Linked DNA regions of Saccharomyces cerevisiae S288C. Changing the gene in region 2 together with the main gene of any one other region gives a genetic interaction. Each region holds a gene or a part of one and is shown on either strand. Other genes may lie near its edges. The genes, in order: NUS1, PDS5, CYT2 and RRT2.

Region 1 (6,993 bases), on a different chromosome or scaffold from region 2:
TTGAGTTCTTTCTTATACCTTCAATGCCAGAGGTTCCAAAAAGTTTCAAAACAAAATGAACTTTCTATCTAGTAAGACTTATAAAAACCACCTCGATAAACAAGTGGATCGAGAACGTGTCAAAGATTCCGTTTCTCTCTCTGTTTTTCCATTTTTCGATTTTCATTTTTTTTTTTGGTTTGACAAATACAAGCCACCTCGTTATATGTGATTTGCAACGCGAAAAGAAATAAAAAGGGAAGGGTAATAACATGGTTTTTCTACAATAAACTGCTATCATTACGGTATTAGTGGCTTCTTGAGAGCTTATTGCGTGACTTTTTTTACTAAACTATTGAAAAATGCAACTAAGTAGCTAGCTTAAAACTATTGCTATCATTATCATTATTACTACTGTTATATATGTGGGCAATGACTTTCTTAAGTATCAGACGAGAATTCAACTGTGCAAAATTAAAAGGTTGAGCGAGATACTTATCTTTTCGTTTAGCTCTTAAGTATCATTTACCAACATTCACTTTACATCCTGCGTACTGTCTTAGGCCGCGGATGAAAACCGAATATATGACTTCGTTGTTATCTTTTTCCCAATAAAATTCGGTTAATCTAATATGCCAAGGTGGGAACCCTTGTAAATCCAACGAAGGCCCGAAGTATAACAGTAAATCTGGTTCGGGTCCAACTAGTTGTTTCAGTTCTGAATCAACTAAATCCATTGTGATGTCAGAAACGCTCAATTCGTTAACCGCACATAACTCAGCCATAGTTTTGGTCAGATCGACAATCGTTTCTCTACCATCTCTGTTAGACAATAAAGAAATTTCAATAGCAATTTTGTCCTTTTCTTGGTTAGCTTCTATCTCATTGCCTACATCAGTCTCGGTTTCAATTCCGTCTAGATTGTAGAATATCTTGTTAGAATGAGGTATTTTAACAGCGTAGTTTGGAACATGAGCTGGCCCAAAATATTTAGCCAGGTTGGAATGAATTTCCATTCTCAGCTCTGGAACATTTCTTTGTAATATTCCATCGTAATCGTACAACATCAAATGTTTTATACCAGCTGAAACAGTCCAGCAAACAATTTCACTCGCGTCATTTAATAAACCTGTCACACCGCCGCCAACGTCGCCAACTGGCTTGACTTCCAAGATAGCGGCCAACCTTTTAGGAATTTTTTTCAGAGGAATAACGTCCTGTCTAATCAACTGTGGTGTATATGCATGGTTGTAGATGATACTGAATATTCTTAGTTTCATTTTATTATATTGGTATTGACCGTACCGAAACAACCCGAAGCAGATGTATAACAACACAAGTAAAAACTTGTAAAAAAGGTATTCAAATTTACCTATTCTTTTACTCAAATCTTCTGTCTTTTGCTTTTGGACTCCATTCGTCTCATTGTTCACTTTCTTCTGAGGGTTCTCATCGGCGTCTGCAATGATACTTGTAACGGCCTTTAAAGCTCTGGTTTTTGAATTAACTTTACCGCCCTTTAAAACACCAGATTCTGGAGGTGGGATGTGATTGGAAGATTCTGGAACATCATCTCTTTCGATCTTTCTATGCGGTTTTTCATTAGGGGGCTCCATTGCTTTATCATCCTTTTTGATCATCGTGGGCATCTAAGAAAAACAATGGGGAAAATATATGTATATATATTGTATCAAAAAATTGTGTAATTTGCCAACTAATGTTATGCGAATACTAACTTGCGTAAAAATTCTCTTCCAGCGCCTTCGAGAGTTGTTGATAATTCAAGCCAGTGTTATACGTGGCTCCTGCAGGACTTTTCTATTGGGAAACCTTTTCGTTTATAATGACTTCCGACGTTGACCGAAGATGGTATCCGTCGGCGGCTAAGTATCCAAAAGTGTTATAGAAGAAAAGATCATAATTTTGGAAAGGCATTAAATCAAGTAATGTAATTGAATGTGTGTCAAGATAAACATTGTGTATCTATAAAAGTTGAGTAGTATCTCAAGTTACAATTATTTCTTTCACATGATTAAAATTATAATGCACGTCCGCTTAATTAATACATCGAATAACATTAAATTAATTATTTCAAATCATTATTTTCATTTACAGGTTGATTAGTGGCGTTTTCTTCGCTTGAGTGGAGGATTTCATTATTATGTTCATTAGTGTCAGCCATCACGGAGAGAGAAGTGCTCAAAATATTAGATTGAGTTTCAGGTTCCAGACCGCCTCTCTTGTCAATATAGCTCTGCGCAAACTGCGCCATTCGTTCCTTCATACCAGCCAAGTCTTGAGCTGTGTTCAAATTATCAGACGTCTCACCACCATTTGCCTCTTCATCACTGGAATTCATTAAAATTGAAGGTGGACCTCTGTTATAAGCATTCAAGGCAAGCCCGTTTCCCAGGTCCATCAAATTGCTGTCCTCTTCAGTTGTATCCGAATGTGAGGAAGCCGTGTGGTAACGAAGGGTACTTTGGTTACCGGAGAACTTATCTGTCGTGTTACTTGCAGTAGAAGTACTGTGAATGAGACGTGCCATATAATCATTAATATCATTCATAGTACTTCTATTACTTTGGTCGCCTTGAGATGAGGGCCCGCCTATTTCATCTTCTGTGTAATCTTCGCTTGAGTCGCTTGAGAGTGAGGGAGGCCCTCTATTATACGTATTAAGACCAAGCCCATTTCCTAGGTCCACATATTTGGTTCGAATTTCAGCAGGCTCTGTTGTTTGCGGGATTGGAACGTCTTGCAGAGAAGGTGACACAGGGACTGTCATACCACTACTTTTGTTCGGGCTTTCAAGAATTTCTGTACTAGTAGGAATATCAACACGTTCTGGGATAGAATGAACTTCTTTTTGATTGGGACTATGATCTATTTCGCCCGATATCGTATTTCGAAAATCATTTCTTGGTGTTTCATCGTCAAAATTATTTCTTTTAGCAACAAAAGTGTTCTTTCCGTCTTCTAATCTTTGCAAAGGATCGTATTGGAATTTAAGTGCGCGTTCCCTAATATCTTTATTAAATTTTGGTGACACGACACCAGTGGATGACTTAATATATAATTCATCAATCTCTTCTAATGTCAAACCCTTCGTTTCATAAACGGTCAAGTAAACAACTATCACCCCCATCGCATTTAAGGAGCCCCAAATGAAGAATATTTTTGCACCTAATGATGATGTATGCGACCCAGTATCTACAATATAAGGGGTAATTAAAGCACAAATAAAGTTTACAAGCCAGTTAGCAGCAGCGCATATAGCCGTACATTTAGATCTCACACCCAATGGGTACAGTTCTGCTGAAATAACCCAAACAACACCACCCCATGTAGCAGAAAAGGCAGCTATGAATAGACATATAAATGCTATCATAACTTTTGCGGCCGCTACAGTCTTTAAGGAACACCCAACAATGGCCACAATAAAGTTGGCTATAGTCATGATAACACCCCCAACAACCAGCACCTTACGTCTACCAAAAAATTCCACAAAAAACAAACCAGGAACATTAAAGACAACATTAACAGCATAGGTTATAAATGAAACCAGATAACTATTACTGACTCCTGTCTTATTGAAGAAATTGACACCGTAGTAAAATATAAAGTTGATACCTGAAAATTGTTGAAATGCTTGAAGGGCAATTCCCGTAAACATCCTTAGAGTTTGCTTTGGTCTACTTTTACTTGAAATAAAACAATCAATGAAGTTCGAAGAACCAAAAGATGCCTCGTAATCATATGTTGCCTTTATTTCAACTAGTTCTTCCAGTAACCCAGAATCATGGACTGGTACACCTCTTAAAAACGATAAAGATTTAGCTGCTTCATCTAGCTTGTCTTTCAAAACGTAATAGCGTGGACTCTCAGGGAGAAAGAACATCCCGATAGCGAGAAATGACGACCAGACATATTGCAACCCTATGGGAATCCGATACGAAGATGCGTCGTTTCTTGCGTGTGTCCCTTGCGACACTGCACTTGACACGAGCAAGCCCCAGGTAATGGCCCATTGGTAAGTAGAAATAATAGCACCTCTTAATGATTTATGTGTAGCTTCTGCTTGGTATAATGGAACAACCGCTGAAATTGCGCCTATACCGATACCTGAAATGACCCTTCCCACAATCAATAATGTGATTCCTCCAGCACCTACCTGTAAAGAATTTCCGATAGAGAAGATGAAAATTGTACTGAAAATGATAGTAGGCTTCCTGCCATACGAATCAGATATAAATGGTGCAGTTAAAGCCCCAAAAAAAGTTCCCAATGACAAAAATGACACCAAAATGGACATTTGTTGGGCGGTAAATGAATCGTGATTAGGTGCTACGTGTGACTTCACATAGTTCATAGATGTAATACTGTTGATCAGACCTGTATCATAACCAAATAAAAATCCGCCAACTGCAACAAAAACACCTACGCATATAGACATCATCATAGATTGTTTCTGAGGAGGCTCTGAAAATAAAATTGAGTTGTCGTCTATGGTAGAAATGTCATCCGTAAACACGGATGTCATATTAGATTGCCTGTCAGAATTTTGCCGCTGCAAGCTCGTAGGGGTTCGTATGCTACCTGTCGTATCATCTGTTGTATGATCTTTGTTACTATTGTTTCGTCGCAGTGCTATGCCCTTCACCCTCTGAAGAGCTTTGTCTAGGAAACCCTGTTTCTCTTGGCGTAATGTTTCGCTAGAACTGTTACTATTAGGATCCATTTATAAATTCTTCTTTCTATGCCAACAAAGGCATATCCTTCTGTTTAAAAAGGTCCTCAGTAAAACTTTTCTGTTTTAATTTCTATAGTGAGGTCAACTTATAGTGACTCTCTCTGTTTTTCTTCAATAAAATGCTTCTTATCTGTCCTATGATCTCTCGATGTGTAAGTACTATCAATGCAATTTGCCGAGGATAGGACTATTGTCTAGTTTTTCTCAGTATGACTGAATTTCCCCAGATTATAGAATAATTGACAGTTCCTCCTCCTTTTGTTCTTTAGAATGTGCGATGCGGCAAGTTTAAAATTTCCCCGGAGATTTGCCGCTCGAGGTGTACATGGTAAAAACATAAGGGAAAGGCTGTAAAAAAGATATAAGAGGTATTGGTTGGTTTTGAGAAGTAATGTTAAGCTAGTTCTAATTGTGATCTTGATTAGGTTTAAACATAAAAGGATAAGTACATAAATATATAAATATAATACTATAAGACATAATAAGAAAAAAACAAGGCCAATACGCCACTTTTTGTACTGAAAGTTTTGAGACTGAATTAATTCAAAGTCGCTTCAGCTATGCCAATCAACCTCTTCACTCCTGTCAGCCAGTTACCACCCTCTTGAGCATGGTTTGTAGCGATATTAGCATGGATGACCATAGCTTCTTTGTATTTCTTTTCCTTCATTAATGCGACGAGGTCATGTAAACAATCGATTGTTGGTTGGGTTAATAAATCCTGCTTTTCCAAATGGTAGAAAAGAATCTTTAATCGTTTATCACAATCCTTTAATTGTTTGGAGTACTCCTTTGGGGTCAATGGTGTTACGCGAGCCAGTTCTTCTTTCAAGAAGTCGACAATGGGTTGTTGATCAGCTGGAATTTCATGACTGACATTCTCAGCGGAGGTATTAACCTGAGAAGCCAAAGTTGGCGGTTGAGAAGGCTGCAATGGAGAGGCCGAGCTGGAAAGGGTTGGAGGATAAGTAGCACCTTGAGATGGGTTTTGTTCTATACTAGCTAACTTGTTGCTTCTCTTCTTCATGCTAATCGGAGGGGGGCCAGTGGGAGGTTTGTTAAAAACGGGAGGAGGAGAGGTCATGGTATGGTTATTAGTATACGGACCGGTTGGAGGATAGGAGGAACCGTTGGGTTGAGTGGTTGCAGTTGGAGCATATGGATTAGAGGCCTTTGGCAACGGAGCTGGAGGCACGCCTCCAGATAATGGGGTTGCTACTCTTTGTTGTGGTGGTGGAGCATAGGGGTTCGATGAAGCTACCTGAGCGGTGTTTGACGTTTGGTTTGCTGTAGAAATAGTACCTATTGGGAATTGTTGTGATGATTGAGGAGGAGCGTATGGATTTGATATGGATGCCCTTGGTGACTCAGAAGTTGCAACCAAGGATGGGACTCTAGAATTTTTGTGTAGAGGAGGTGGTGATACCATTGACACAGAAGAGGGAGCTCTGGAAAGAGGTGGCGGAGGCATGGTACTAGCAGCATTTGCAGGGATACCATTTAATGGAGTTGGTGTCGATAGGATATTTGGAGGGGCAACAGATACAGCCTTGGCACGAGATGGTTTTTCTTTGACCTTCAAAGGCAAATCATTCCAACCATCATTGGCTTTACGGTTGAGATGTGGCGTTTGACCCGATACAGCATTAATTGGAGGTTGTGAAGGAATAGAGCTAGATTGAGCATTATAGTCGCCCATAATAGGCATACCAGGTTGTATAGGAGCAAAAGTGTTTTGCGGAATCGACGTTGTAGATACGTTCGTTGCAGGAACTGTTGCAGTGGCATATGGGTTAGGCGGAGGAGCAAAAGAATTCAATCTGGTCGAGCTATTTGTTTTGTTAACAAAAGGTGACGCCATCGAAGGTTGGCTTGGTGGCGCATATTTACCTTCTGTATGAACAGGAGCACTAGTGGTGGTTGCTGGAACGTACGGCTTTGGAGGTAGAGCATTTGCAGAGGCGCCTGGTGTCATACCATAAAATGGTGCCTGCATACTAGGAATAGAAGTAGTAGAAGGCATTCCAGGAGTTGGTAGTACAGGAACGTTCTTATTTGTCTTGGCGTTTGTATACTTGGCTTTGCTGGTCGTCGCTGTCGCAGGATTTTGTGCCGGTAATGATTTGCCGGAAGCAATCAAGACACGTGCCTTTTCTGTTTTAACCTCTTCATTGTCACTTGGTAAACTATTTAAGAATTCAGTGGCTAGTTCGAAATTTCCTGTGGAAGTAGTTAAGTTGATAAATTCCAAAAATTTGGCA
Region 2 (9,151 bases):
CTCTATGAGTGTAATCTAAGCACCTGCTAATATGTTATATTCTGCTTATTCGTCCTTTTGCTACACATAATTAATGTAACTTTAACTCTAGTTCTATAAAGGATATGATTTGTACTAAATGTAACATTATACGAAAAAACATATTATTCGTTTATATAAACTAATCAAAGAAGTCGTCATCATCTTCGTCGTCATCATTTTTAGCATTCTGCTTGTCAAATGAATTCAGATCTTCGCTGAAATCTTTCCGTTCGAAGATAATCTTACTGTTATTTTGTGAATTTTGTTGCTTGGCGATACCATTCAAGATTGAAACAATTTCAGCTTCAGTGATTTTATGAGTGACGTTGTTTGTAGCAATCAGTTTCTTTAAGTATGTCTCTACTGCTTGGGCCCTGTCTCTACGGACCAAGGCCACTCGAGATAATCTTTCTAAAGCTTGTGGCTCCAAGAAATTTGCAATAGCTGCACCAACGGGAGCGGAATTTTCACCTCCACCATTATTAGCACCGCTATTTCTATCGCCGTTGGTACCCCCACTGTTGTTTTTCAACTGAGCCAATCTGGCTTCCCTAATAGCTTGTAACTCTGGGTCCATATCTGAGCACACACTTCCTCCTGAATTGTAATCCAGAGAGCAAGAAGATTTTTCAACTTTTACTCTTGGTTCTCCTTGTAGAACCACAAGTGGTATAAAAATTCTCGCTTACCCAGCCCAAAAATTCTCATCTGTTTCTCATCTGTTTCTCGTCCGAATAAGTTTCCCGTTCGCAGCTAGGATTTCACCTGCTCACCATAATAGGCAACTTTCTTCCTCATGTAGGAAATTATACTATTGCTCTCTGTTGCAAGGTTATTTTTGAGCCTTAATACCATATTAGTAGATATAAATACATATATATCGTGTTAACCCATAAGTGGTAGTTTTAGTAGCTCGCTGCAAGATCTGCCTCATTCCTTTGTAGAGAACGACGTACCCACTACGCGTTTGAACATTTGCAACAAGCACGAGAGGAAGGAAGAAGAATACCAAGTATAAACGAGAATAATCACCATAGAAAAACCTATAAAAGACACTTCCATTACCATCTGCTAATAATAATACAATGGACACCAGCAAGAAAGATACTACTAGGTCGCCCTCACATTCCAACAGTTCTTCTCCTTCATCTTCTTCTCTCTCTTCATCTTCTTCCAAAGAGAAAAAACGTCCTAAGAGACTATCCTCCCAGAATGTAAATTACGATTTGAAAAGGAGAAAGATCATCACTTCTGAAGGTATAGAAAGATCATTCAAGAACGAGCATAGCAATCTTGCAGTTGAAGACAATATCCCGGAAGAAGAACCCAAGGAACTTCTTGAAAAGGACTCCAAGGGTAATATCATCAAACTTAATGAGCCATCCACCATCTCGGAAGATTCGAAGGTATCTGTCACTGGATTGCCGTTAAATAAAGGTCCTTCTGAGAAAATCAAGCGAGAGTCTCTTTGGAATTATAGAAAAAATTTGGGAGGCCAATCGAACAACTCAGAAATGACGCTGGTCCCCAGTAAAAGATTTACTCAGGTGCCGAAAAATTTTCAGGATTTGAACAGAAATGATTTGAAAACGTTTTTAACTGAGAACATGACTGAAGAGAGCAATATACGGTCAACTATTGGTTGGAATGGCGATATAATAAACAGAACTCGTGACCGTGAACCTGAAAGCGACCGCGATAATAAAAAGCTATCAAATATTAGAACCAAAATAATACTTTCAACGAATGCTACCTATGATTCAAAAAGTAAACTATTTGGCCAAAATTCCATCAAGTCAACATCGAATGCGAGTGAAAAAATTTTCAGGGACAAGAACAATTCAACCATAGATTTTGAGAATGAAGATTTTTGTTCGGCTTGTAATCAGTCAGGTTCTTTTTTATGCTGTGATACATGCCCCAAATCCTTTCACTTTCTTTGCTTAGACCCACCAATTGATCCGAACAACCTGCCTAAAGGTGATTGGCATTGTAATGAATGTAAGTTTAAAATCTTCATAAATAACTCAATGGCAACTTTAAAAAAAATTGAATCCAACTTCATTAAGCAAAATAACAACGTCAAGATTTTTGCTAAATTACTTTTCAATATCGATTCCCACAACCCAAAACAGTTCCAGCTACCAAATTATATAAAAGAAACCTTTCCTGCTGTGAAAACGGGTTCGAGAGGACAATACTCTGATGAGAATGATAAGATTCCATTAACTGATAGACAATTGTTTAACACTTCTTATGGCCAAAGCATAACTAAATTGGACTCTTACAACCCGGATACACATATAGATTCAAATTCAGGTAAGTTTTTAATTTGTTACAAATGCAATCAAACCAGACTAGGTTCATGGTCTCATCCAGAAAATTCAAGATTAATAATGACTTGTGATTATTGTCAGACTCCATGGCATTTGGATTGTGTACCGAGGGCTTCTTTCAAGAACTTAGGTTCAAAATGGAAATGTCCTCTACATTCCCCAACTAAAGTTTACAAAAAGATACACCATTGTCAAGAAGATAATAGCGTAAATTATAAGGTGTGGAAAAAACAACGATTGATAAACAAGAAAAACCAACTTTATTATGAACCTTTACAAAAAATAGGCTACCAAAATAACGGGAACATTCAAATCATACCAACAACTAGTCATACAGATTATGATTTCAATCAAGATTTCAAAATTACACAAATAGATGAAAATTCCATTAAATATGATTTTTTTGATAAAATTTACAAATCAAAAATGGTTCAAAAAAGAAAACTCTTTCAATTTCAAGAAAGTTTAATAGATAAGTTAGTATCAAATGGATCCCAAAATGGCAATAGCGAGGATAATATGGTCAAAGACATAGCCTCTTTAATATATTTCCAAGTTAGCAACAACGACAAGAGTAGTAACAATAAATCGGCTTCCAAAAGCAATAACTTAAGAAAATTATGGGATTTGAAAGAACTGACTAACGTAGTCGTGCCGAACGAACTAGATTCTATACAATTCAATGACTTTTCCAGCGATGAAATAAAGCATCTGTTATATTTAAAGAAGATTATCGAATCCAAACCAAAGGAAGAACTGTTAAAATTTTTAAACATAGAAAATCCCGAAAACCAATCCGAATAGAAACGGCGTACATACATAAAGAATAAATCAGGAACGTGAACACCTTCCTTACATATATACACACATACATAGGCATATGTATCGCATCTTAAAGTGAGAGATCTACCTATTTTCCTTTTTTTTCCATTTACAACATAGCAATTGATGTTTTTTTCCCTTCTAAGTCATCTCGATGTCATCATCTTCATCGTCTTTGTAGTCAACTTCTTTCCTGACCCTCAATTTCTTCATCACAATATTTTCGTGCCCTTTCTTGGTTTCATTTTTGTTAGACGGTGAATAACTGTCATCATCACTGTCTGATTCTCGATCCCCATCACCTTCTTCGTCGTCAGCCTGTGATCTCGCATGATGAACTTTCTTCTTTTTTTTTTGTGATTCATTGTTTTCGTGAGCTAATAACCTCTTTTGAAGCCTTTGTCTTTGAGTTTGTGACGTGTGAAGAATCCGTCCGATTTTAGCTTTTATATTGTTTTGTATTTTTTCAGTCAAGCTCTCTGGTATGTATGTTTTGAAAGATAACTGGGCCTCCTGAACCGTTGCAAAAGGTTTGAACAAATCTGATGGTAAGTTTAATTTACCTGGATATGCTGAATGTTGCCAATTTTTCTTCTCTTTTAAATTCAATAGAATCATTTGCGACAGCTCACCTATGATATACATTTTCTGACCGTAAGGTCTATGCTTCTTTGGCGCTTCTTCTTTTTGTGGTCCTTCTTCTTCATCAATTTCATCCTCAACTAACTTATCTTGATAGTTTTTTACCCTTTCTGATAAATAATAGAGCAAACTGAAGTTCTCTTGGGCGGCAATAGAGTCAAAGTAAAACAGCAAATAATCAATCGCTGTTGTTAAAGCATTTAGATATGCGTCTCCTTCGGAATCTAAACCTCCCACAATATCAGGGTGATGTGCAATCGCATGTATCAACCTAGGCAAAGCTCTTTCAAATATCGTCCCTTTTTTAAATGATTTTAAGCCAAATGTAAAGTTTATCCATATCTTCGTTGTGGTTTTCAGTTCGACATCTGGTTCATAAGCAGTAAAAAATACTAGTGGTAGGAACTTTATGGAAATCAGTTCATTAGCAACATAATCTTTCAGTTGTTCCAAAAATGTTTTTCTTACTGGCAGCGATTCATCTTCAACCAAATTAATTAATTTAATAATGTCCGAAGGTTTGATAAAGTTGTTCAAATTAGAAATCCTGGCCAGTTTTAAAACTTGAATTCCTGCCACACACCTCAATTTTGTTTGATAATTACTGGGGGTGGGATAAAACTCCTTGTTAAACTCGGAAATCAGCTCACCACCACTTGCAATCAAGTAAAAGAATAACTTCATAGTTTTTTCGGTGAAACTTTCTGCCAATTCATCTCGTGGAACATCCGGAGCAATTGATCTCAATTTGTTGGTGAACAGCTTTAAAGTAAACACCTTATTACCTATTGCAGAATATTTCGTGTCACTTAATAGAGAATCTTCTACCCAGTCAATTTCTTTTTTTGAATCACCAACGACCTGGTTTGATAATAGAACTTCTTTAATTAGGTATGATATGATATCAGTGGAATCATCATTTAGGACGTGAGGGAATTTTTTAAATATTTCCATGAGTACAATAATATGAGATGTAAAATACTTGTCTTTTTGCAAATCTAAAGGTAGGATACGTATTTTTATCTTTTTCAGAGTTTCTTCAGCTTTGGGCGATAAAGCGATAAGTTTTGTGGCGTATTTCGTTATTTCTGGTTTACTTTCAACTGCAAAATCGTATAATTTGGTGAAGAAAAACGTGTCGTCAAAATCCACTTGATCCTTTAATGTTTTGGAAGCCTTGTAAAGGGTTTTTAAAGCTTCTTCCAATGACAAGTTATCATTTTTTTCTGCATCTGGATCATCCAAATCCTTGATAATGGTTTTTAATGTTCTAATCTGATCTTTAAATAATGTGGGATTGACTTTCGATATATCATCCAAGATTCTTCTTTTCAAATCCAATTGTTTTGCGTCAGAATTATTAGATAGGTTCAATAAAACACTGATGTTGGATACATTATAAATTATTGGTGAGGCTCTAAAAAGCAAAATTTGTATTACCTTGGCGATATCACGTGGCATAATGGAAGCACCAGTAGATATATTATATTTTTTAAATAGTCCTGGCGTTTGTAACTTACTGACCAATTCATTGTAACAATTTTTAAAAGTAAGAAACGGAATATCGTTGGTGACACAGGCATTTAATAAATAAAAGATTCTTTCGTCGTTAAATTGTTTTATTGTTTCGAGGGCGTCGATTGCTTTCGTAGAGTCAGAAAGGCCAGAAGCTAACCACTGGAGAGTTTGGTTGTACTTGTTCATTACAATAGGACCTTGAGACGAGCTCATACTTTCTTGATTGTTCAAAAATTTACTAAAATCAATATATTTGGATATAGCGAAGGATATTTTGATTTGTCTTGCATTGAAAGCGAAAAATGAAGTGAATGCCTTCTTATCAAAATGTGACAAAACCGTTAGCAGTCTGTGGACTCTTTTATCGTTATCTGGTTCAAACGGTAGTAGGTATTCGAAAATTACGCTGTCGACTTGTTCATTGATGTTTAAATCATTGATATAATAGAGATTGTATAAAGTGGATGGTATGGTGTCTATGATTTCCCAAATTTCTTTATTTTGGTATGTCCTTTCGATCTCATTCAATGAATTTGAGTAAAACTTGGCCATAGTGTTAATGCAGAGTTCCCTAACCTCCTTATGTTTTTCTCGGGCCAAATGAAGTAAAGATGTATAAATGGCTTTATTGGTTATATTTTTCCAAATTTCAGTAACGGGAACTTTATTAAAAATCATAACAGAAGTCCTGCGTACACGAGGATCAGAATCAATAAAGGTTTTTGCCAGTGCCTGATTCAGTTCTTTGGATATGTCTTCTCTCGTGGCAATGATTTGAGGAATTGATTCTGTCCATTCTACTCTAACATCGGGACTAATATCAGCAATTTTGGAAATCCATGCCTTGAACGTATCGGAATGTGTAGAAACAAAATTTAAATCCGAATATGAGGTAAGTATTTGACCAATTAATTTTGTAGCTTCTTTTCTGAAAAGCTCGTTTTCCGAAGATAATTCGTGGTATATAAATCCGATTACTGCATTGATCAGTTCGGGTACTGTTTCCCAAAGTCTCAATACCAGTTTATGTAATTTCACTACCACAGTGAGAAGTCTTGAATTATTGTCATCATTAGTTGCTTCATGAATAATCTCGGAATAGTATTTAGTTAGATGTCTACTCATTCTATTGGAATAAGTATCACACAAAATTAGACTAACTTCGTAGCCACAGTCAGAAGTAACGTTCAAACCTTCAGGAATTTCATTCGGGTTATAGGTCAAAAACTTATTAAAAATTAATCTTAGTACTTCTAGGGGAACAGAATCGAACTCAGAGATGACTTCACCGAGAATACCGCCTATTACATTGAAGAGCCTTGCGGGGAAGCTCTTGTTAGGATCGTAAAAAATATGGAATAGTTCGATAAGTAAATTGTTTGAACTAGGTAAATCGGCTAATAATACGATTGATCTGTATTCTAGTAGCTTAGTGATCAAATAAGTTTGTTGGATGTGATAGCCGTTTTCTTGGTCACCTAATTGTTCAAATTGTGAGAGCACCAGCTTGAAAATGTCCGTTAGTTGAGCATCCGTATAAGGCGCATCTGGAGCATATAATCTCAGGATATCGCTTAGACAACAAGCGGTGAAAGCGCGGATCCCCACGTCTTTATGTTTTAATAATTTTCTGCTAACTAGTGCGTCCCTATATTTATCTAATCCCGTTAAATCTGTATTGTCTTGATCCAGAGAGGCTAATTCCTCATGTAAAGCTTTTAAACGATCTAATAGTTCATTTGTTGATATCAGCTGATCGGAGGTAGATATTATAGGTGAGTTAAACTTCAGTTTAGTAACAGCACCTTTAGCCATTTTGTTCGCACTTTATTTCTTGCTTCTTTACAAATATACCTGTAAAAATTGAGACCGGATACAAACTAACAAGGTGGATAAACTTCTTTTAGGTCTTTTTACAATTAACAACAATTTCGATGGAGCCTAGGTTTATAAACTTTCACTTGTTTATACAACTTTACGCGTCGCGTCGCGACATGTCTATAGATTAAGTCACTTTTAACGCCATCATTCCGGGTAGTGCATATTTTCCCTTGGCGGCTAAATAGATGAAAAGGTAAAAGTTTAATCTGAGAAAAAAACTGCATTGAGGAGTCTGAAAACTGAGGATAAAACAAACAGTCGCAGTTGAGTTGTTCTTTTTCATGGAAATTCTTACTATGTACTGCATTTAGGAGGGGAGTTCATCACACTATTATAAATTAAAATATACATCCTGCTTCTTACTAAATTATGTTTTTAACTATTCTTACTGCCGCAATTCCAAGAGGGTAGAGGGTAACTTCAGAGTCTTTACCTAAAAGGTGGGACGCCAGACGGGCGTTAAAAAACTTTCCGTAACGGCTGAGATAAAAATGATTTCGCCCAGGATCGAACTGGGGACGTTCTGCGTGTTAAGCAGATGCCATAACCGACTAGACCACGAAACCTGTTATTTGTGATGGTCTGGACCTATACTTATGGTTTTATGGACTAAACATTTTATGTAATCTTTTATAGAAGAACATTTCTTTTTTCAGGTCAACCGTACAGGAAACTTTCCTCTAATAATAGGATCTTTTTTAATGTAGCTCTCAATATATGGCCTAAATATCATGTCCTATTCTTTTTTTGAAATATCTCCGACATTTAACAAAATAGTATTATTTCATGGCATGACCATTGAAAATTGTGCAAGAACTTTAATTTAGGAAAGTTCATTGATTCAGGATAAATATATAAAGAAAAAGCCACTATCCCCAGAAATTTTGCTGTTGATGAAGGCTACGATGCTGTGAATTCAGATTATAGGAGAAATTCACCTCGAGGACTTGAAATCCACATTAAGGAATCGATATTTTTACACGATAATATTATAACTTTTTCCTCTATTTTGTTTTTCTTTTAATATATTGTCATTCATCATTTTATTTCAAGCAAAATTTAAAGGTTAACATAAATTAATAGTTGCCATAATTGGGACAGAAACTTCCATTACATCTCTAGACTTTTCTCAATCTTTATATCATCTTTTTATGTCGTATATGATAATCTTCTAGTAGTATGGAACAAGTCAAGAGATGATAGCTGATGCTTCATTTTAACAATAAAAATTCTAACGACTATTTATCACGTCTTGGCTTAGCTATAAAAGTACTATATAAACTTAGTATTTATTTTTGAAAATACTAAACAAATTCTATCAACGAAAAACCTGGAAGGAACCTATTTACATTCCCTTTATTTTTAATTTTGAAGCTACATACAGACATTCAGGATAGTAATGCTAAAGGTTCCTTAGTGTCTGATCTCTCCTCCGTCGCGAATTCCTCTCTTTCTTTTTGCTCGGTTTGTTCTCCTTGAGGCAATGATGGCAAACCTTCTGTTGATGGCATGTTAGCTACTTTTGCGTTATTCATCTTCTCTGGATTGAGTTCACTTTCTAGAGCATCCAATTCCTTATCTAGATCGTCTTCATAATTGCTTGTTCCGACTAAGCTTCTAGATAATGTCTCGTTAATTTCATTTTGATACGCAATTTGATCTTGTACATCGTCCATCAGTTCATCAACATTGCTAAATTCCTTGTTTAGTTTTTTCAAGATTTCATTTCCATTTTTCAGTCCATTAATAAATTGCTTTTCTACCATTTTGAACTCAAGTGTTGACACCATATTTTCCAAATTAATAAGCTGATCCGAAGCCTGCTGCAACAAATGCTCCTGATAATGAATTCTTTTTAGTAGAAATCGTACCTTCATGTTAGATTTATAATTTTCAGGATTTTTTCGTATTAGGTCTTTTAGTTGACTCTT
Region 3 (5,221 bases), on a different chromosome or scaffold from region 2:
TATAAGAGGAAGTCCAATAAACCCGTTCTTGACATAGACAAAATTGTCACATATGATGAATCTGAAGACGAAGAGGAGATATTGGCAGCACAAAGAAGGAAGAAACAAAAAAAAAAACCTACACCAACCAGACCTTACAACTACGTACCTACGGGGAGACCAAGAGGAAGGCCAAAGAAGGATCCAAATGCAAAGGAAAATTTGATTCCAGAAGATCCCAACGAGGATATTATAGAAAGGATAGAATCTGGAGGCATAGAAAATGGCGAGTGGCTGAAACATGGAATACTGGAAGCTAATGTGAAAATTAGCGACACTAAGGAGGAAACTAAGGATGAAATTATTGCATTCGCGCCCAATTTGTCGCAAACTGAACAAGTAAAAGACACGAAGGACGAGAATTTTGCCCTTGAGATAATGTTCGATAAGCATAAAGAATATTTTGCTAGCGGCATATTAAAACTACCAGCTATTTCTGGACAAAAGAAATTAAGCAACTCATTTAGGACATATATTACGTTCCACGTGATACAGGGAATAGTCGAAGTAACTGTATGTAAGAACAAGTTCTTGAGCGTTAAAGGTTCCACTTTCCAAATACCGGCATTCAACGAGTACGCGATTGCCAATAGAGGGAATGATGAAGCCAAAATGTTCTTCGTTCAAGTGACCGTTTCAGAAGACGCTAACGATGACAACGACAAAGAATTAGACAGTACGTTTGACACTTTTGGGTAATTATGATGTGAATATTCTCATTATGCATGCTATGTACTGAAGAAATATAACTAGGTCCATACGCTTATACTGTTAAACATGTGAACTTTTCTGTAAGAAAATGAATCACGTAAAATTTCGCACCGAACTTTCGTAGATGAGAGAACAAAAAGCAGAAAAAGAGAAAGAACAGTAAAGTAACACTTAGTTAGCATATTTAAATAAAAGTCTAAAGGACCAGCAAAGAGTTATTAGGTGTGATGACGGATGAAAAAGTGAACTCAGATCAGAATATGAACGGTAAGCAGGGAGTTAACTTAATTTCATCCTTGCCTACAACACAAGTGCCGGTTTCAATTTTGACCAACAAGGAGAGAAGAAAAAGTATTCACGATGAATCAAATTTCGAAAGATCTGATAGTCATGAAGATCAATCAAAATCCAACTCTAATAGGAGGAATATTTACAAAAACGATTATAGCACAAATTTGAGGGATTTCTCTTTTGCCAATCTGAAGCAAAATAGTGAAAGGAACAAAGATGGCCATGAAATACAGATCAACACCAGTATGCCAGCTAATACAAATGGCCAGCAAAAAAGGTTTTCACCTTCATTACCTTCTGCTGTTTCATTTACGGTGCCCGAGGTGGAAAGGTTGCCGTATCATAGATATTCGATATCCAATAAACCTGGAAAGCAGCAGCAGCAGCAGGAACAACTGCAGCAAAATCAACAACAAGAAGAGCAGCAAAAGGCACAACTGCAGGAGCAAAATCAACGAGCAAAACAGCAAGAAGAGGTGAAGCAAATTCAGGAGCAAGTGCAAAAAAAGCAAACTGAAAGACAGCAACTGATAGACGAAAAGGAGAGGATAGCGAATGCAATATTTAAGGAGAACACTACTAATGATGGTACTGATATCAGGAAACATTCGGTATCGAGTGGTACGAGCAATAGCGAAGATGAAGTAGATTCACCTTCGATGGAAAAAAATTCTATCGTTCATATGCCAGGTGATTTTATCTACTTCAATCCCAAGTCAAACGCTTCTAAACCTATCACTGCAAAGGCGGCGCCATTATCGGCTAATAACTCCACACATAAAAACAAGGAAGTTATCACTGCACCCACAGGGCCTCGTGTACCCTTCACAGAGTTCTTTCAGAAGGAAGACGACAAGAAATTCCACATTCTCATTGGTGCGACGGGCTCAGTTGCCACAATAAAAGTACCTCTAATTATTGATAAACTTTTCAAGATATATGGGCCTGAGAAAATCTCTATTCAGTTGATTGTCACAAAACCCGCTGAGCATTTTTTGAAAGGGCTCAAAATGTCAACACACGTTAAAATTTGGAGGGAGGAAGACGCTTGGGTATTCGACGCTGTGAATAAGAATGATACTAGCTTGAGTCTGAACTTGATATTGCACCATGAATTAAGAAAATGGGCTGATATTTTCCTGATTGCGCCTTTGTCAGCTAACACACTTGCTAAACTGGCCAATGGTATATGTAACAATTTGCTAACTTCTGTGATGAGAGATTGGTCACCACTGACCCCAGTGTTGATTGCGCCTGCAATGAATACATTCATGTATATCAATCCTATGACAAAGAAACACCTGACGAGTTTAGTGCAAGACTATCCGTTCATCCAAGTTTTGAAACCGGTGGAAAAGGTATTAATATGCGGAGATATTGGTATGGGTGGTATGAGAGAATGGACAGATATTGTAGAGATCGTTAGGAGGAGAATCAATGAAATACGGAAAGCTAGGGACGAGGAAACTGGTGATAAAGAGCAAGAACAAGAAGAACAAGAGGGTGCTGACAATGAGGACGACGATGATGAGGATGACGAAGAGGATGAGGAGGACGAGGAGGAGGAAGAAGCTCTAAATGAAACAGCATCCGATGAGAGCAATGACGAGGAAGACGAAGAGGATGAGGAAGACGTGAAAACCGAAGTTTAAATGCATTAGAAAAGAGTATTTTGTGTTATGTTTTATGTTTTATTTTTTTTTTTTTTGTTTATTCCTTAAAAGAAGATTACTGCTTTTTCATTCCCTAGTTTCTAAATTGAGTGCCTAAATAAGATTAAATAAATATGTATGTGGAAACTAGGGAGGGTATGTTTTTATTTACAGGAATAGTTGTAGTAATTCAAAAGCCTAAAGATTTCCAGAACCGTAATCTAAAGCCCTCAAAACTGTTTAATTTTGGTCTAACATCGAGATAAATAAGTGGTTGTTGCTGCGAGTTTGCATCGTTCAGATCGGTGGAATAGAAATCGATTACGTAGTCGACGGTTTTACCGCATCTATCTATCTGCCAATCATGTCTATCAAAAGGTTTGGCCAGGTGCAAGATACGGGACCTGAACCAGGCCCTTGGTGTCAGTTTTTTGGAATCACCTTTAAAATTTGTTAATTTGATACCGCCACACGCTTCACCACCCTGCTTGTCTTCCCAGCTTTTAATGTAGTTCCAAACCCGCTCATTGATGGAGTTATGTAAAGGCACAACCACCTTCATGTCATCTGAGTTCGGATCCCAATTTTTTTTCATCATTGCCTCGTAAAATTGTTTCTCCGACGGGTATATCCAGTTTCTGTCAGAATTCGTCCTTGGTATGGTGGAAACCTCTCTGGACTGAGAGAGATCCACCGTGGTGTGATATTCAGGCGTTTTATCGTTATCTTGTGGGTTTGCAGAGCACTCTAGTTGATTGCCTGGGGCAGTAGCACCAGGATGCGCTTCGTTGCCATGTTCTCGTAGCCATAACTTTTTGGTTTCCTCATCTACGGGGCATTTCCCCTGTTGGTCTGAAGACATCATAATATGTAAAATAGAGACGAATGAAAAGCACGTGAACTAACAAACTATTTACTACTACCGAAATGTGATGCTTAAGCCTTTGGCCTCTGCAATACTAGCGATTGCTTTTTCCCTGATTAGTAAGCTACATCATTTATACTACATCTTTCTGTCTTAGAAGGCTTACAAACATCGAAAAGCTGGAACTTTGATTTCGAAAAAAATATGCCGTTACCCGTTGCGGGTCCCTTTTTTTTAGAAGGCCGGCCCAGAAGTCGCCATTATTTTTAGTCATTACAGTAGCCCTGTTGGGTAAGGATGCGATGCAATACATGTCAAGAGGTGTTGTATATAAACCACAATATCTACCATCAATGAGCTATATATACTTTTCTTACTGAAAAAAAAAACTACAAAACCAAGTAAAAAAAGAACAATATGTCACTACAAAGCAACAGTGTAAAACCAACAGAAATTCCTCTCTCAGAGATCAGACGCCCCCTAGCGCCTGTGTTGGATCCTCAAAAGATCGACGCAATGGTGGCCACAATGAAGGGCATTCCCACCGCTAGCAAGACATGCTCTCTAGAACAGGCTGAGGCGGCTGCCTCAGCCGGGGAACTGCCGCCCGTGGACGTGCTGGGCGTGCGAGTCAAGGGACAGACGCTATATTATGCCTTCGGCGGCTGCCACCGTCTACAGGCATACGACCGCCGGGCTCGCGAAACGCAGAACGCCGCCTTCCCCGTGCGCTGCAGGGTGCTACCGGCCACTCCCCGCCAAATCCGCATGTACCTGGGCAGCAGTCTCGACATCGAATAATGATTACGCTAATAACACTACATAAGAAACATAGATAAATTATAATTCACTAATACAAAATCCCTCAATTTAATTAATCAATTTCTTATTCAACAACTAGAGTAGGCACTAGCAGTTTGTGCGACCCTCGGCGCCGGAGAGGTACAAGGGACCTGGCGGTTGGGCCTTCCTGCCAGCTTCTCCCCCCCTTCTCGGCATTCACTCAGCGTTCATTGGCTCAATCACGCGCCAAGCGGATTCCCAGAAAAATACAAAAAAAAGTTGCCATAATACAATGGCGGATATTACAATATATATAGCTTGCGCTTTAAAAAGAAGTGTTAGCACGCATTGGGTGTTTGTACTGTATTCCTCCACTTAAGATAACGAATACACATATAGATATACAATATATTATACGTGGACATCTACGGAAAGGAAGAAAAAAAACAAAAGGAAAAGGAAGGATACCATATACAATGTTGTCAAGAGTAGCTAAACGTGCGTTTTCCTCTACAGTTGCCAACCCTTATAAAGTGACTGTTTTGGGTGCAGGCGGTGGTATTGGACAACCATTGTCTTTGCTTCTAAAGCTTAACCATAAAGTCACGGACTTAAGACTGTACGACCTAAAGGGCGCAAAAGGTGTTGCCACCGATTTGTCTCATATTCCAACAAACTCCGTGGTCAAGGGGTTTACTCCAGAAGAGCCAGACGGATTGAACAACGCTTTAAAGGACACAGACATGGTTTTAATTCCTGCTGGTGTGCCCAGAAAGCCTGGTATGACACGTGATGACTTGTTCGCCATCAACGCAAGCATCGTTCGCGATTTGGCAGCAGCAACCGCCGAATCCGCTCCCAATGCTGCCATTCTGGTCAT
Region 4 (7,357 bases), on a different chromosome or scaffold from region 2:
TGGGTGCAGGTATGTTCCACAGAGGTGAATTCACTGTTAACGATGTAAAGGAGTATTTACTAGAGCACGGATTAAAGGTTAGAATGGATGAAGAGTAATGTGGTTGGATATGTATACTTTATAATCTTGACTCAGTCTATATACGCAATAATGATAGATGTTAAATCAGACATTTCACAACACAAGAGGATGTACAGCTTGGAGAAATTGTACCAACTTATATGGTTGTATTATTGGTGGTGTCAGTAGGGGAAGAAATAGAACATATTTTTCCACTTTTTCATTTTTTTTTTTTAGCGAGGCATCGGAAATGAAAATTTTTAAAAATCGATGAGCTCCCACTTCTTCAACATTGACGAAAGGAAATATGCACTAAGTTGTTTTAAATCCAAGATTTGTCTCGTTTTAAGACTTACAGATAAAACAATATATTAGAAAGATTAACTATAATGGCCAGAGCATCCTCTACTAAAGCCAGAAAACAGAGGCATGATCCACTTTTAAAGGATTTAGATGCAGCTCAAGGTACCTTGAAAAAAATCAATAAAAAGAAGCTAGCGCAGAACGATGCTGCAAATCACGATGCTGCAAATGAGGAAGATGGATACATAGACTCCAAAGCATCAAGAAAAATTTTGCAGTTGGCCAAGGAACAACAGGATGAAATTGAAGGTGAGGAACTTGCTGAATCAGAAAGAAACAAGCAATTTGAAGCCAGATTCACCACCATGAGCTATGATGATGAAGACGAAGACGAAGACGAAGACGAAGAAGCTTTTGGAGAAGACATCTCCGATTTTGAACCCGAAGGTGATTATAAAGAAGAGGAAGAGATAGTTGAAATCGATGAAGAAGACGCAGCGATGTTTGAGCAATATTTCAAGAAATCAGATGATTTTAACTCTTTAAGTGGTAGCTATAATCTTGCAGACAAGATTATGGCCTCTATCCGAGAAAAGGAAAGTCAAGTTGAAGATATGCAAGATGATGAACCACTTGCTAATGAACAGAATACCTCAAGAGGCAATATTTCATCCGGTTTGAAGAGTGGAGAGGGTGTTGCACTTCCAGAGAAGGTCATCAAAGCATATACTACGGTAGGTAGTATTTTAAAAACTTGGACGCACGGTAAGTTGCCAAAGTTGTTCAAGGTTATCCCATCCTTAAGAAATTGGCAAGATGTCATTTATGTGACCAACCCGGAAGAATGGTCACCACACGTTGTTTACGAAGCAACGAAATTATTTGTATCCAACCTAACTGCTAAAGAATCTCAAAAATTTATTAACCTAATTTTACTTGAACGTTTCCGTGACAATATCGAGACCAGTGAAGACCACTCTTTAAACTATCATATATACCGTGCGGTGAAAAAATCGCTTTATAAACCAAGTGCCTTCTTCAAAGGTTTCCTATTCCCATTGGTTGAAACAGGGTGTAATGTACGTGAAGCGACAATTGCAGGAAGTGTGCTTGCTAAAGTCTCTGTTCCGGCTTTACATTCTTCAGCTGCCTTGAGTTATCTTTTAAGGCTACCTTTCTCTCCACCTACAACTGTTTTTATCAAAATATTGCTCGATAAAAAATATGCTTTACCGTACCAGACGGTGGACGACTGCGTGTATTACTTTATGAGGTTTAGAATTTTGGATGACGGTAGTAATGGGGAAGATGCTACAAGAGTACTCCCAGTGATATGGCACAAGGCTTTCTTAACATTTGCACAACGTTACAAGAACGATATTACCCAGGATCAGAGAGATTTCTTGTTGGAAACTGTTCGTCAAAGAGGCCATAAAGATATCGGTCCTGAGATTAGAAGAGAACTATTGGCAGGAGCCAGCAGGGAGTTTGTTGATCCACAGGAAGCTAATGATGATTTAATGATTGATGTCAATTGATGCTGTAATATCAATTTTTCATCAATTTTATATCGCTCGGTCTTTCCCCCTTTCAACAAAGCTTCTGAATCATGTATAATAAGTAGAAAATATAGAGTAAAAGATTATTGTTCAGGCAAGTTCCTTCCTATCAATTCTTTATGCATAATCTATCGAAATCATCAAAATATGGCCTATATATTAGCCTATATATTAGCCTATATATTAGCCTATATATTAGTCCATATATTGCAGACTGAATTTTTTTTTCTAAACTATCCATGTTTGCAAGGAATTATCATAAAATGAGCATGTTGCGATCAAAGAATTTGACCAGTCGCCACCGTAACACATCGAATCATGGCCCTTCTTCAGATAATGTTGAATTTGAAAATACTCATCGGAATTATCATTCATGGTCACCACCTTGGCACCATTGTACATGCAACAAACTAAAAGCCGATCGGAGCCGTTGTGGTGAGATTGTTCCTGATCAATGGGGGATTCAACAAATCTCCAAACACCGCCACCAAGATCACACGCCAATTTATTAACTGTGGGGACATTTGCACCAGGAAATATGGACTCACCCATCATCCTTAAATCCAGAGAACGAATGTTATCATCATAGGATCCAGTTATTATGGACGTGGGTTTATTATTTCGAAAGTTAGGTTGACTACACTTAATGCTAACAACACCAGCATCATGAATACGATTATTACTCCAAATGAATTCTTTGGAACGTAAGTCGTGGGCCATAATTCTCGAATCATCACCTCCTGTAAATACAACGTCTTGAAAAGGCTGTAGAGATCCAAATTCCGCAGTCCAACACTCGAGTTCATGGGGTTTCAAAAATTGTCCCGATTCAACATGAATGACTTTTTCGGTTGCACCTTGAACTTCGTAATCTATTTTATCTAGTTTTGAGTAAGCCTGCGCGATTGCTGATGCCGTGAACTGTACAGATAGTGTTCTTATATCAATGGTAGCTGCTTCGCCTGCCGTATTTGTTACAAGTAATTTCTTACAATCAAGTGGGGAAAAATGGCACGAGGCAATGAGAACATCTTTTTCAAAGAGTTGTAGATTTGCAATTGCATGAATATCTAGTTCGTTTGATTGGAAATCATCCTTATCTGTGCACCGTATCCTCCATAGCATGATATTACCTGTCGAATGGGCCGTGCATATCAATGTATCATCAAAGGGGGATAACTTCAAATCTAGGATTGCGCCATACGTATTATTCGAACATAAAAGTTTGAGGTCCATTGTGAAGACATCCAGTGAGCCTGACCTGTATCCAGTTGACTTATCTAAATCATACGTCCCAACAAGGATGATCTTATTCCTGAATATTCTCAAACAACACGGCGGTAGTTTTGTTTTCACTGCATTTAGTACATCTGATTCTTGAATAGAGTCCATATGTATAGCTATGCAAAAACCAGCTAGAGGTGGATGTAGAAATACCCTATTATGGCCTATATGTTAGCTATTGCAAATTTTCACTTTTTCAAGTTCTATACTAGAATGAGAAAAAAACACGAAAACAATTCTTGCAATGAAAAGGACAAAGATGAGAACCTATTCAAAATTATTCTCGCCATATTTTTGCAAGAAAAAAAAAAATACGATTGTATTTCATCTGGTTCAATTATGACTGCTTCAGAAGAGTACTTGGAGAATTTAAAACCGTTCCAGGTCGGTCTCCCTCCACATGATCCTGAATCGAATAAAAAACGTTACCTGCTGAAGGATGCTAATGGTAAAAAGTTTGATCTGGAAGGCACTACAAAAAGATTTGAACATCTGCTATCCTTGAGTGGTTTATTCAAGCATTTTATTGAAAGTAAAGCCGCTAAAGATCCCAAATTCAGGCAGGTCTTAGATGTATTAGAAGAAAATAAAGCAAATGGCAAAGGCAAAGGCAAACACCAAGATGTTCGTAGACGAAAGACTGAACACGAAGAAGATGCGGAATTATTGAAAGAAGAAGACTCGGATGATGATGAGAGCATTGAATTCCAATTCAGAGAATCACCTGCTTACGTTAATGGTCAATTGAGACCTTATCAAATCCAAGGTGTCAACTGGTTGGTGTCTCTGCATAAGAACAAAATAGCGGGTATCCTTGCTGATGAAATGGGTTTAGGTAAGACCCTGCAAACTATTTCATTTCTGGGATATCTTAGGTACATTGAAAAAATTCCAGGTCCATTTTTAGTCATTGCGCCTAAGTCTACCTTAAATAATTGGCTGAGAGAAATAAATAGATGGACGCCAGACGTAAACGCCTTTATTTTGCAAGGAGATAAAGAAGAAAGAGCTGAACTGATCCAAAAAAAACTTTTAGGTTGTGACTTTGATGTTGTGATTGCTTCTTATGAAATTATTATAAGAGAAAAGTCGCCCCTTAAGAAGATTAACTGGGAGTATATTATCATTGATGAGGCTCACAGAATCAAGAATGAAGAGTCAATGCTTTCGCAAGTCTTAAGGGAATTTACCTCACGTAATAGGCTGTTGATTACTGGTACTCCTTTGCAAAACAATTTGCATGAACTATGGGCGTTATTAAATTTTTTGTTACCAGATATCTTTTCCGATGCACAAGATTTCGACGATTGGTTTTCTTCTGAAAGCACAGAGGAAGATCAGGATAAAATTGTCAAGCAACTCCACACTGTTTTACAGCCTTTTCTACTACGTCGTATCAAAAGCGATGTGGAAACATCCTTACTGCCTAAAAAGGAACTGAATTTATATGTCGGTATGTCTAGCATGCAGAAGAAATGGTACAAAAAGATTTTGGAAAAGGATCTGGACGCTGTGAACGGGTCTAATGGCAGCAAGGAATCCAAAACAAGACTTTTAAATATCATGATGCAACTTAGAAAATGTTGTAATCATCCATATTTATTCGATGGTGCTGAGCCAGGTCCACCGTACACTACGGATGAGCACTTGGTTTATAACGCTGCCAAACTTCAAGTTTTGGATAAGTTATTGAAGAAATTGAAGGAAGAAGGTTCTAGAGTTCTGATTTTCAGTCAAATGTCAAGATTATTGGATATTCTCGAGGATTATTGCTACTTCAGAAACTATGAATATTGCAGGATCGACGGTTCCACCGCTCACGAAGATAGAATTCAAGCCATTGATGATTATAATGCTCCTGATTCTAAGAAGTTTGTTTTCTTATTAACGACACGTGCAGGTGGGTTAGGTATCAATTTAACGTCAGCAGATGTCGTTGTCTTGTATGATTCAGATTGGAACCCACAAGCAGATTTACAAGCAATGGATAGAGCGCATCGTATTGGTCAGAAGAAGCAGGTCAAGGTATTCCGTTTGGTCACAGATAACTCCGTGGAAGAGAAAATTTTAGAAAGGGCTACCCAGAAGTTAAGATTAGATCAATTAGTTATCCAGCAAAACAGGACTTCTTTGAAAAAGAAGGAAAATAAAGCAGATTCCAAAGATGCTTTATTATCCATGATTCAACATGGTGCCGCCGATGTATTCAAAAGTGGTACATCTACCGGTTCAGCTGGTACGCCGGAACCTGGTTCAGGAGAAAAAGGAGATGATATTGATCTGGACGAACTTTTACTGAAATCAGAAAACAAAACTAAGTCATTAAATGCAAAATATGAAACTTTAGGTCTTGATGATTTGCAAAAATTCAACCAAGATTCGGCCTATGAATGGAATGGTCAAGATTTCAAGAAGAAAATACAAAGGGATATTATAAGTCCGCTACTGCTCAACCCCACCAAACGTGAACGTAAGGAAAATTACTCTATTGATAATTATTATAAAGATGTTTTGAATACAGGAAGGTCCTCGACCCCATCACACCCCAGAATGCCTAAGCCTCATGTCTTCCATTCCCATCAATTACAACCTCCCCAATTGAAAGTCCTGTACGAAAAGGAAAGAATGTGGACGGCGAAGAAGACTGGTTATGTACCGACCATGGATGACGTAAAAGCAGCATATGGCGATATTTCAGATGAAGAAGAAAAGAAACAAAAATTGGAATTGTTAAAATTGTCGGTTAACAACTCGCAACCATTAACTGAAGAGGAAGAAAAGATGAAGGCTGATTGGGAGTCTGAAGGATTTACAAATTGGAATAAATTAGAATTTAGAAAATTCATCACGGTATCTGGTAAATACGGTAGGAACTCCATTCAAGCCATTGCGAGAGAATTGGCCCCTGGCAAAACACTAGAGGAAGTTCGCGCATATGCTAAGGCCTTCTGGTCTAACATTGAAAGAATTGAAGATTATGAGAAATATCTGAAAATAATTGAGAATGAAGAAGAGAAGATCAAGCGTGTCAAAATGCAACAAGAGGCTTTACGTCGGAAGTTGTCTGAGTATAAGAATCCATTCTTCGATTTGAAATTAAAACATCCTCCTTCTTCTAACAACAAAAGGACGTACTCTGAAGAAGAAGATCGTTTTATCCTTCTCATGTTATTCAAGTATGGCTTGGATAGAGATGACGTATACGAATTAGTGCGTGATGAAATTAGAGATTGTCCCCTATTCGAATTAGACTTTTACTTCAGAAGCAGGACACCTGTAGAGCTAGCCAGAAGAGGAAATACATTACTGCAATGCTTGGAAAAGGAATTTAACGCAGGGATTGTATTGGATGACGCCACTAAAGATAGAATGAAGAAAGAAGATGAAAATGGTAAAAGGATAAGGGAAGAATTTGCAGATCAGACCGCTAATGAGAAGGAGAACGTTGATGGAGTAGAGAGCAAAAAAGCGAAGATTGAGGATACGTCGAATGTTGGAACTGAACAGTTGGTAGCAGAGAAAATTCCGGAAAACGAAACCACTCATTAAACCTTCTTTTTTTATATTTCGATTTTTTTTAATATATCCTACACCATGCTTCTGAAGAAAAATATATAATCATACTAATCTATAAATGTATTATTTATTGTTCCGGATAATTGCTTGATTATAGACAAAGATATCATTTACTTAACAGGCTTTGGATTTCTTGGTCCAAGGACGATGGTTTTGTTAAGGAGGAAAATCTTTGGACAACCTTACCATTGGAATCAACTAAGAACTTTTCAAAATTCCATTTGATACCCTTGAAACCTAGTAAACCTGCTTTTTGGCTTTTCAAATAATTATAGACAGAGTCAGCATTACTTCCGTTAACATCAATCTTCTTCATAATTGGGAATGTAACGCCATAATTCAACTGGCAAAATTCCGTAATTTGTTCATCAGAGCCCGGTTCCTGCTTCCCGAACTGATTACATGGGAACCCCAAAATAACAAACCCCTTATCTTGATATTTTTTGTATAGTTCTTCCAATTCTTTATACTGCGGCGTGAAGCCGCACTTGGAGGCAACATTAACTATGAGAACTACTTTGCCTTTCAGTTGGTCAAACTTAAAAGATTCGCCTTTCTTGTCCTTGCATTCTAAA

The links.
Region 1: mutations in PDS5 (region 2) and NUS1 together harm fitness more than expected from each alone (negative genetic interaction), as found in Saccharomyces cerevisiae (one large-scale study listed by BioGRID).
Region 3: mutations in PDS5 (region 2) and CYT2 together harm fitness more than expected from each alone (negative genetic interaction), as found in Saccharomyces cerevisiae (one large-scale study listed by BioGRID).
Region 4: mutations in PDS5 (region 2) and RRT2 together harm fitness more than expected from each alone (negative genetic interaction), as found in Saccharomyces cerevisiae (one large-scale study listed by BioGRID).

What each region holds. Positions count from the first base shown.
Region 1 is NC_001136.10:109,307-116,299, reverse strand, and holds NUS1 (ditrans,polycis-polyprenyl diphosphate synthase), read right to left. Parts: upstream 1,629-6,993; coding exon 501-1,628; downstream 1-500. Other genes in the region: SNF3 (glucose sensor), read right to left, coding at 2,066-4,720; SEC31 (Sec31p), read right to left, coding at 5,271-6,993. UniProt on the Saccharomyces cerevisiae protein: With SRT1 or RER2, forms the dehydrodolichyl diphosphate synthase (DDS) complex, an essential component of the dolichol monophosphate (Dol-P) biosynthetic machinery.
Region 2 is NC_001145.3:412,876-422,026, forward strand, and holds PDS5 (sister chromatid cohesion factor PDS5), read right to left. Parts: upstream 7,155-9,151; coding exon 3,321-7,154; downstream 1-3,320. Other genes in the region: SDD2 (Sdd2p), read right to left, coding at 161-598; RCO1 (Rco1p), read left to right, coding at 1,107-3,161; YMR075C-A (uncharacterized protein), read right to left, coding at 2,813-3,178; ESCRT-III subunit protein VPS20, read right to left, coding at 8,609-9,151. UniProt on the Saccharomyces cerevisiae protein: Essential for the establishment and maintenance of sister chromatid cohesion at centromere proximal and distal regions during S phase. Also required for chromosomal condensation.
Region 3 is NC_001143.9:274,306-279,526, forward strand, and holds CYT2 (cytochrome c1 heme lyase CYT2), read right to left. Parts: upstream 3,559-5,221; coding exon 2,884-3,558; downstream 1-2,883. Other genes in the region: MIF2 (Mif2p), read left to right, coding at 1-738; phosphopantothenoylcysteine decarboxylase complex subunit CAB3, read left to right, coding at 978-2,693; SRX1 (sulfiredoxin), read left to right, coding at 3,976-4,359; malate dehydrogenase MDH1, read left to right, coding at 4,818-5,221.
Region 4 is NC_001134.8:707,548-714,904, reverse strand, and holds RRT2 (diphthamide synthase), read right to left. Parts: upstream 3,315-7,357; coding exon 2,151-3,314; downstream 1-2,150. Other genes in the region: HIS7 (imidazoleglycerol-phosphate synthase), read left to right, coding at 1-98; snoRNA-binding rRNA-processing protein ENP1, read left to right, coding at 450-1,901; chromatin-remodeling ATPase ISW1, read left to right, coding at 3,366-6,755; glutathione peroxidase GPX2, read right to left, coding at 6,889-7,357. UniProt on the Saccharomyces cerevisiae protein: Catalyzes the demethylation of diphthine methyl ester to form diphthine, an intermediate in diphthamide biosynthesis, a post-translational modification of histidine which occurs in translation elongation factor 2 (EFT1 and EFT2).